Linked DNA regions of Arabidopsis thaliana. The protein of the gene in region 2 interacts with the protein of the main gene of each other region in a pairwise test. Each region holds a gene or a part of one and is shown on either strand. Other genes may lie near its edges.

Region 1 (3,989 bases), 6.2 Mb from region 2:
AACTTCTTTGCTTCCCTGAGACGGCGGATAAACGCACTGTAGAGTCCATGGACTTGCCGGAAACTCTCAGACTCGCAGGATCTCTTGAACTTCTCTACTTTCTGCGTCAATTTCGAATTTTTAGAATCCTTGGCGTCATTCGACGATTGACCTCCGTCTCCTACAGAGGCGGTGGATGCCTTCAATTTACTAGGGAATTTGGTGGATTTGGTTTGGCTTCTGGGTTTTGCGGACTTAGCAGTGGCGATTGAAGATTCTTTGAAGATTCCATGGAGGCGACTGTACAGCGACGAGCCTACCTTGCTCATAGCTTCGTGCAGGTGGTGAAAATGTCAGAGTTGAGTGTGAGGGTTTAGGGTTTTGGACTTAAGAGTGCTCCTCCGGCTAGGTCTTATGCAGTGAATGCGAAAAACAAAATAAAACAGCGTGCCGTTTCTACTCCTGGACTACGCAGCGTTTTTTGTGTCTAAATCTTAAATTCATGCCGTTCTCTAACCAGAAAAGGAAATAAGAAAATTTCTTTTAACTTTGAGAATTGAAAGCAACACAAACACACTACAGATAGAGATAGTTCAATTATTAAATCACCGCACTCGCAGTTTGCAACAAGACATTAAAAAGAGGGAAACACAGACTAAATTAAAAACTAGTCAATAAGCCTTGCCAATTAACTACTCTTTGGGAAAGAGACGAAGCTTGCACTGCAAATAGTCATTCGTCTTTGCTAGCTCGACAATCTCTTCAGCTTCGTCTTGCTTGGACCCTTTCACCAATGCATCAACTACCTCCTGCAGGACAGCCTCATCGACTAGCAGACGCTTAGCAAATATTTCCTTGCAGAGCTCATAAGCAGACTCTAAATCGCCCGCCTTACATATTGCAGGAAGCAATGAGTTAAAGACAAATTTCAACGGGCGACAACCATTCTTCTCGATTTCCTTGTACCACGTTATGGCTTCATCTAATTTTCCTTCACTGACAAATCCTTTAATCATGGCAGTGAATGTGAAAACATCAGGTTTGAGCTCATTACCCTTAAGTTTGTCAAAGAGACTAACCATCTCTTCTGATTTATTCTCCATGGCTAGTCCTAACAACCGAGCATTGTAACTACGGATGTCTCGCTTAACATTCTTCTCTACCATTCTAGCCCATATCTGTTCTCCTTCCTCAAACTTCCCTTTTGTATACGACTCATGTAAAAGTATATTGAAGGTGATATGATCAGGTTTCAAACCCTTGTTCTCAATCTCATCAATCAACGCAACAGCTTCAGTGAAGGAACCCTTTCCACACAATCCCTTGATCAAAGTATTGTAAGATGCAACATCTGGTTCAATCGAGAGCTTACCTGGCAACTCCTTGAAGATACCTTCAACCAAATCAAACTTCTTGGAGTTCACACAGGCATTCAGTAATGCGTTGAAAGACAACGCTGTTCTCTTGCAGTTTCTCTCAGGCATTTCGTCGAACACTTTCTGTGCATTCTCAAACATACCGACTCGTCCATAGAGATTGATAATCCTCGCCACGAATCCTTCCTTTGACATGTTTGGATACTTGTTCTGCTCCTCCAGGATCTCCTCGACCCACTCAAACTTCTTGGCTGCGGCGAGACGGCGAACGGTTCTCTCATAGACAGCTATATTCTTCCGGAACCACTCTGCTTGGCAGGCTTTCTTGAACTTCTCCGTGATGAATTTGGGGTCGCGTTCGTCATTTACGAGGGTGATGAGGGACGGTTTGGGTGGCGAGGGTGTGGCTGCAGCAGCGGTAACGGCGGAGAAGAAGCGGCGATTCGTGTGGGTGCTGAAGCTGAAGTTGCCACGAAGGAGAAAGCGAGAGAGAGACGACATCGTTTTTAGCTGTATGCAAAGGTTTTTCTCTTCTTTTTTTTGGATCGGAGTGTTCAAAGGTTTTTAGTCAGGGGAACGGCTTTAATACTTCAAATTAGGTTTGGTAACAATATAAAGCAAATGAACCCTAAATTACTTTTGTATTATTCAAAATTTCAAACTTATTACTCATTAGTCATTAGTGAATGTACTTTGTATTATTAAAAATTAAAAACTGAGAATTATTTTTTATAATCTGTATATTTATGATTTTTCCATTAAAACTATGTTCATTTGTCCATTCTACCAATGCATTTGGTTTGCACTAAAAAGCTTAGAAAGAGTCATAAAAAAAACAATGAGCATTACCTTGAGTTGGAGACTAGTTATCTCGTATGAAGCTCAAGGAGAGCTTACTTCACGACGAATCTTAGAAGGAATATATACCTCTGACAAAAAGGACAGTGAGTGAACTGAGAGTGCTTCGATCTCAAACTTGACCCCTCTTTTCAACATCGTTTCAAGTTCCAACCTTAGACGACCAAAATCGTTTTGATCAAGACTAGTTTTTGTCATTTGGTTGAAATGTAAATATAAAAAAGTCAGGGAAGTTTTTCATACCTCCATTGTGGCATTTCACGCTTCAGGTAGCATCTAAGCAACATTGCTTCAGTTCTTTTCTTATCTGTCCGGGGAAGTTGTTACAATCTCAAAAAAGGAAGCAGTGAAAAATAGGAAAATCTAAAGATTTAAGGCGATAAGGTGTTTAATGATCTCTTACCTTCTTCTGTCAGTGGCAAAAGACACTGTTTGGGAACACTATATACCTCAGAGTCTGAAGGAAAAGCTCCCAACCATTTCATATCTGGTGCTCGTAATGATTCAATATCATAGGCCATTTGCTTACAGAAAGAAAACAAGTGACATAAGGAAAATGGTTCAAAATGAAATGGGTCAGTGCCATATCACATTATCACTATCAACAAAAACAATGCAAGCGGTGAAATTTTCCGAGTTCAGTCATCTATATTTTGTAACAGAATCTAACCATGGAGCCAAAACGGTATGTGGCTAGGATCTCAAAGCCATATGGATCACAGTCGACTAGACAATGCACAGGTAGATGCAACTTCTCCATCAGGAGTCGCAAGAACCTGGAAAGAATCTGTGTTATTCGCTGATATATTAATCAATAGAAGATAATGTCTGATAAAATAGTATTCCAGGAACCTGGGATTAAGTTATGTACCTTCTTGTTGAGACATCTGGATATCCTCTTCCCTGCCAAAAACAATCGTAACTTTGATGTCAAACATAAAATGGAAATGAAAACTAGTCAAAACTGAAATCAGTAAGAATGAAGCAGATTTCTTACTGTGATAACAATGCAGCGGTTCGTCTTGCAAAACATGTCATTTGCTAAACGCTGGAATACTATAAACCATGGATGAAAGCGATTTAGTCATGAAGAAAGAAAACCATCTTCCTAGTTACTACATAAATAAGAGGTCTTTCTTACCTGTTTCTTTTTCCACAACCAGTATGTACTCAGCTAAGCTAACAATATCTGCAAGCAGGAAAATGACATCCAATTATAGTTCCTGATGCCACCATAGATAGTGAATCTTATACTTCCTGATATCAGCTGAGATAAGGATTTGACTTCTCTAAAGAGCATAAAGCATCACTTAAAATGATTGCAAATATATGTACCTTCGACTTCCTCTACAAGAACAGGAACGGGATATGCCTGAAATGAAATCACTTGCAGAGTTATACTTCCTGATGCCAATATAAAAAGTGAATCTTATGTTCAAATTCTTACAGTGTTCAAGCTGTTTAAACAATCAAATTTCCTTCCAGCTTCCCTAAATTTTAACCAACCCATCACCAACCTACAACACAAAAGAATAATGAGGTGGATCTTAAAATAAGGACATGCCTCAAGATAGAAGCATTGCACTCGTTATCAAGAGCACCCACCCGTTTCCAACAGAAACCTGCAAAATATCACATGAATGAAAAAGTAATCACATCTTCAATCGCAGCTTATAATAACTCTTCAGAAGGAAAATTGAAGGTGAAAGTATTAAAGTACTAACCACATTCAAGTTGTACCGACTACACTGAAAAAGAATGCATATATCACCAATT
Region 2 (5,563 bases):
TCGGATGCAACTTATTTTCGAAGCCTAGCTGGAAAATTGCAATAACTCACCATCACTCGGCCGTATATCCAGTATGTAGTCAATTTTGTTTGTCAACGAATGCATGCTCCAATAGTTGCAGATTTTGGTATTCTGAAACGAATCCTGCGGTATATGCTTAAATCATGCATTTGATTAGGTTTACTTTGCTTGTTTCGCAAGTATTCTTGTTTCATCACGATTCACGAACGAATGTATTTTACGCTAAGTAGAAAATTTTTATTTGTTAGACAGTTATTGTACAATTCAATGACTGATGTTGTGGCAAATTTGTCAAAATTTATCAAACTTTTGTCAGAGATAGTATTTGACAAATTTGTCAAAATTATATACGTTCTGACCTAAAATTTTCGAAGAAAACAAAAACGTGTTGGTAATATAAAACGCGTAGGAATTTAGAAAACCAAATAATTTGTGAACAGATAAGATTTGATATGGGATTCGAGCGGCGAAAGAGTTAAAGAAAACAGCACCGCCCAACAGTCGTCAATGATTACAATTTGTTTTCAGTTCATAAATTAATCCAATGAATTGCTTATGAACTGACGATAAAAAAGAATTGCTTATAACTTTGTGAATAGGAAATAATAAAGTATTTGTGGTTACAGAGTTGTCTTTATGCAATATACAAAAATAAAAATCCGAAGGAAGAGACGTTGTTAGGTCTTAGAATTATGAACAAACGTGTGGGTTGTCTCTGTCTCTTGTAAGAAACCAAGTCATACATAATTTGCATATATAATATGACCGACCAACCAAATAATATAATGTTATGGGCTCTTAACAAAAACATATATAAATAGTCATTTCGTTGTGACAAGAAAAAAAAAATAAATAAAAATAATAGTCATTTCGATATTTTGTTGGTTGGCTAGTGAAAAAATTGCCTTAAGCGCATTATCGTTTTTTCACAATAAAATTGACTCATGAAATATGGGAACGAGAGTTCTATAAAAATTACATTTTGGGTAGGCCCTACACTGATGACTATAAGGGCCCATAAAGCCGTAATGGGCTTAAAGGTGGACCACATCTGGACCATAAAACCAGGCTGTCTAACTGGTATGCAGCTGTAGTCCACGTGTCATATCATTTCGTCATTAAGAAAAATTCTTACTAAATTAGTGATTCAATCCTTTAAATCCAGTGGTCCAATTTTTCTTTCCATAAAGAGTTAAAGACTATACTAAAAAAAAAACACTGCATCATTATATCAATCAAAAGGCTAAATTTTTAACTGTTCACGTTTTTAATATTACGTATATAGATTAGAGATCATGGGATGATCATTAGAGATAATTGATGATTAAGTATGACACGTGGCGGAATCTCAACGGTACTTATTATACAGCTGTGAATTTGTAGGGTTTGACGTAGACTTGTGAATTGTGATCTTTCCCCAGCATTTAATTAGCTGGCTAATTAACCTGCAAAACTCAATTTTTTTTTGTTCTAATTTAACTCATTAAATCCCTAAAAAATTGCATTTCAAGGAAACAATATTTCTTTTAGGATAAATAAGAAAAATAATTAATTCTTAACGGGCAAAACTCAAACTTTAACTTTAAAAAAACAAATTCATGAAAAAATTGCATGTGAAGGAAACAATATTTTTTAAAAGTTTTAATTAAAAAAAAGGTAATCTTGAAATGGATGAAACATTCATTTCATAGTGTTTAGTTTCCAGAAAGAATCTCGTTTTTTTCTGCTGTAATTTTTGGGGAATTATTTTTTATCTGTCGGTTTTACTTTTCCTTCTTTGAAAATTTGTAATTTTCTTTGGTTTCACAGCAAATTTTTAATCAAATTTTAGATGATAAAAAAAATGGATGAGACATTCATTATTATTTTTCAAAGAGATAAATTTATTTATAAAATTGAGGAAAAAAGATAAATTATTTAAAGAGAGAGTGCAAGTAGGGAAGAAGTCATCTTCTTTTTATTGCTTCAAGAGTCAATCATCTTCAAACCTAATGATCTTCAAAAAAATTTCTGGTTATGCATCTCTTTCTTGAAAAAATAATCATATAATCACATCAAAAAGAGTCAATTATCATCTTCATTATCTTAATATAATCAATCAATAATTCAATTTAAAAGGTAAATTAAAGTAAGCAATGTAGACCCAAAAAAAAAAGTCTGCTTTTGTTTCAAAACATATAAGGACAGTGAAAGGGTTTGTGCATAAATGTTGTTGCTTCATCTTTCTCATAACATTAGCTATGAGATTATGAAAGTGAAGATATAAAACAAACACCTAAAAGTGAAAAGTACAAGACACCAAATCCTTCATTTTCATCTCTTACACAACCACACTAAGTTACCAAAAAACAGAATCTGTTCTTTTTTTGCCTTCTTGCAGATTTCTTCAGAGTCAAAGACACATAAAGGTTCGATTTTTATCTCTTAAAATCTTCAAAGTTTTCGTTTTTCTTTTCAATTTCGTTGAATTTGATTCTGGGTTTTGTTCTCTGTTAGTAACTGAATCTATGTCAGCTTTAGATAATTCTAGTTAGGGACTTATGGTTCTCAATTTCGAGTCTTTTGATGTTATCTTGTTGTTTTAACGGATTTGAATCTAAAATCTTGGTCTCCATTGATTCAGATTTATAATTGAGTTGTGAGTTTTGGAGGCCATGGACGTAGGAGAGAGCAATGAGAGGGTAAAAGACGATTCTGCCCTTCAAGCTTCACCGAGGAGTCCTCTGAGTTCTATAGATCTTGCAATTGATGGAGCTATGAATGCTTCTATTGAGCAGTTGTATCATAACGTTTGTGAAATGGAGAGTTCTGATGATCAGTCTCCGTCCAGGGCGAGTTTTATTTCGTATGGAGCTGAATCTAGGATTGATTTGGAGTTGAGGCATTTGGTTGGAGATGTAGGAGAAGAAGGAGAGAGCAAGAAAGAGATTATCTTGGAGAAGAAGGAAGAAAGTAATGGAGAAGGTAGCTTGAGTCAGAAGAAACCTCTTTCGAATGGTAAGAAGGTTGCGAAAACGAGTCCTAATAATCCGAAGATGCCGGGTTCGAGGATCTCTTCGAGGAAATCACCGGATTTGGGGAAGGTTTCTGTTGATGAGGAGAGTCCTGAGCTTGGTGTGGTGTTGTTGAAGCAAGCCAGAGAGTTGGTTTCTTCAGGTGAGAATTTAAACAAGGCTCTTGATTTAGCGTTGAGAGCGGTGAAAGTGTTTGAGAAATGTGGGGAAGGAGAGAAACAACTTGGGTTGAATTTGGTGATGTCTTTGCATATCTTGGCAGCGATATATGCAGGGTTAGGGAGATACAATGACGCTGTGCCTGTTCTTGAACGTTCTATCGAGATACCGATGATTGAAGATGGTGAGGATCACGCGTTGGCGAAATTTGCAGGGTGTATGCAGCTTGGTGACATGTATGGTTTGATGGGTCAAGTTGAAAATTCGATTATGCTATACACCGCGGGTTTGGAGATTCAAAGACAAGTTCTTGGAGAATCGGATGCACGAGTTGGCGAAACTTGTAGGTACTTAGCGGAAGCTCATGTTCAAGCAATGCAGTTTGAAGAAGCCTCAAGGCTTTGTCAAATGGCATTGGACATTCACAAAGAAAACGGTGCTGCCGCTACAGCTTCTATTGAAGAAGCTGCGGATAGAAAACTGATGGGACTTATCTGCGATGCGAAAGGTGATTATGAAGTTGCGCTTGAGCATTATGTTTTAGCGAGCATGGCAATGTCATCTCAGAACCATAGAGAAGATGTTGCTGCTGTAGATTGCAGTATTGGTGATGCTTACATGTCGCTAGCTAGGTTTGATGAAGCGATATTCGCATACCAGAAGGCTTTAGCTGTGTTTAAGCAAGGAAAAGGTGAGACTCATTCCTCTGTTGCTTTGGTTTACGTTAGGCTTGCTGACTTGTACAACAAGATTGGGAAAACACGCGATTCCAAATCGTACTGCGAAAACGCTCTCAAGATTTACCTAAAACCGACTCCAGGAACTCCTATGGAAGAGGTTGCGACTGGTTTTATAGAGATTTCTGCGATATATCAGTCAATGAATGAACTTGATCAAGCTCTTAAGTTGTTGAGACGGGCGTTGAAGATATATGCAAACGCTCCAGGTCAACAGAACACGATTGCAGGTATTGAAGCTCAAATGGGTGTGGTTACTTATATGATGGGAAATTACTCCGAGTCCTACGACATATTCAAGAGCGCGATATCAAAGTTCCGCAATAGCGGAGAGAAAAAAACCGCTCTTTTCGGGATTGCTTTGAATCAGATGGGACTAGCTTGCGTTCAGCGTTACGCGATCAATGAAGCTGCAGATTTGTTTGAAGAAGCGAAAACTATTCTTGAGAAAGAGTGTGGACCGTACCATCCCGATACATTAGCGGTTTACAGTAACCTTGCTGGAACGTACGACGCAATGGGAAGGTAAATTTGGAACTTAAAACAATTTTCTTGCTAGGTTATGTTTTTTGGTATTTCCCTGCGGTACAAGCAATGTGTTACTTGCTTTACAGGTTAGATGATGCTATAGAGATATTGGAGTATGTTGTTGGGACAAGAGAAGAGAAGCTCGGGACGGCAAATCCCGAGGTTGAGGACGAGAAGCAGAGGCTTGCTGCGTTGTTGAAAGAAGCTGGAAGAGGAAGGAGTAAAAGAAACAGAGCACTTCTTACCCTTTTGGACAACAACCCTGAAATTGCAAATGGACAGAGACCGGTTTATTGATTAACCGGATTATTGTCCGGTCTAAAATGTATATATATACAAAATACAAGTTCGAATACGGTACTTACACGGTCGAGGGAGAAGGAAAAAAATGAAGAGGCTTTATGTTTTCTAGTTTTATAAAAAGTGAAGGAAAAAAAAAAAAATCTTGCATTTGTTTTCTTTATAAATAAAATGTAAAGAGTAAAACGCAATTGATTTGGTCGTTTTGTAATGTGATTTACATTGAAATTTTGGAGTTTAAAAATCTCCTTGATGGCAGTTTCTCTAACTTTGAGCACTGATCTTGAGTAAACAACAAGTGTTTGGTTACTAAAACATCTTGTCTGGTCTTGTCATGTAATGTTCATGAATGTCAACAAAAAACAATAACCGAATATACACATACATATGTAGCATGAGAACATAAAGAGACGACCCACCGAATCAAGAAGTTGTCACTTAGCAAAGCAACAAAAGAAAAGTTGTCACTAAGCAAAAGATAATCTGAACTAAGCGGTTTAAAATTTCTTACCAAACAAGTTACTGATTATTTGATATAGTCTTTTATATAATAACTAATATGATAAGATGTGAATAGAAACATTCTGCTTAAAGCTGCATATATTGTAACCAATGACTTTTTGAAGAAAATTTTACATTGATTCAAAAACAAAAAGAGAGATGTGAATAGAAATTTTGGCTAGTTACTTGAAAGCACCAGAAATATGCTAGACATTTATTAGTTTATATCATGGCAACTTATTTTTTCGTGAGTTTACATGCTTTTTGGGTAGGGAGAGGTGGATCCGATATCGAACCATCGAG

The links. Proteins that work in one complex are often made in the same cells at the same time.
Region 1: the proteins of KLCR2 (region 2) and AT3G13160 interact in a two-hybrid assay, tested with the Arabidopsis thaliana proteins (one large-scale study listed by BioGRID).

Annotation. Positions count from the first base shown.
Region 1 is NC_003074.8:4,229,323-4,233,311, forward strand, and holds AT3G13160 (Tetratricopeptide repeat (TPR)-like superfamily protein), read right to left. Parts: upstream 2,087-3,989; 5' UTR 1,857-2,086; coding exon 672-1,856; 3' UTR 507-671; downstream 1-506. Other genes in the region: AT3G13150 (Tetratricopeptide repeat (TPR)-like superfamily protein), read right to left, coding at 1-308; ATSPO11-1 (Spo11/DNA topoisomerase VI, subunit A protein), read right to left, coding at 2,238-2,367, 2,457-2,520, 2,617-2,737, 2,884-2,989, 3,085-3,116, 3,211-3,269, 3,355-3,402, 3,549-3,585 and 3 more.
Region 2 is NC_003074.8:10,379,706-10,385,268, reverse strand, and holds KLCR2 (Tetratricopeptide repeat (TPR)-like superfamily protein), read left to right. Parts: upstream 1-2,019; 5' UTR 2,020-2,429; intron 2,430-2,610; exon of another isoform or gene 2,611-2,644; 5' UTR 2,645-2,675; coding exon 2,676-4,456; coding exon of another isoform or gene 4,457-4,460; exon of another isoform or gene 4,461-4,545; coding exon 4,546-4,756; 3' UTR 4,757-5,039; downstream 5,040-5,563. Other genes in the region: AT3G27950 (GDSL-like Lipase/Acylhydrolase superfamily protein), read right to left, coding at 5,498-5,563.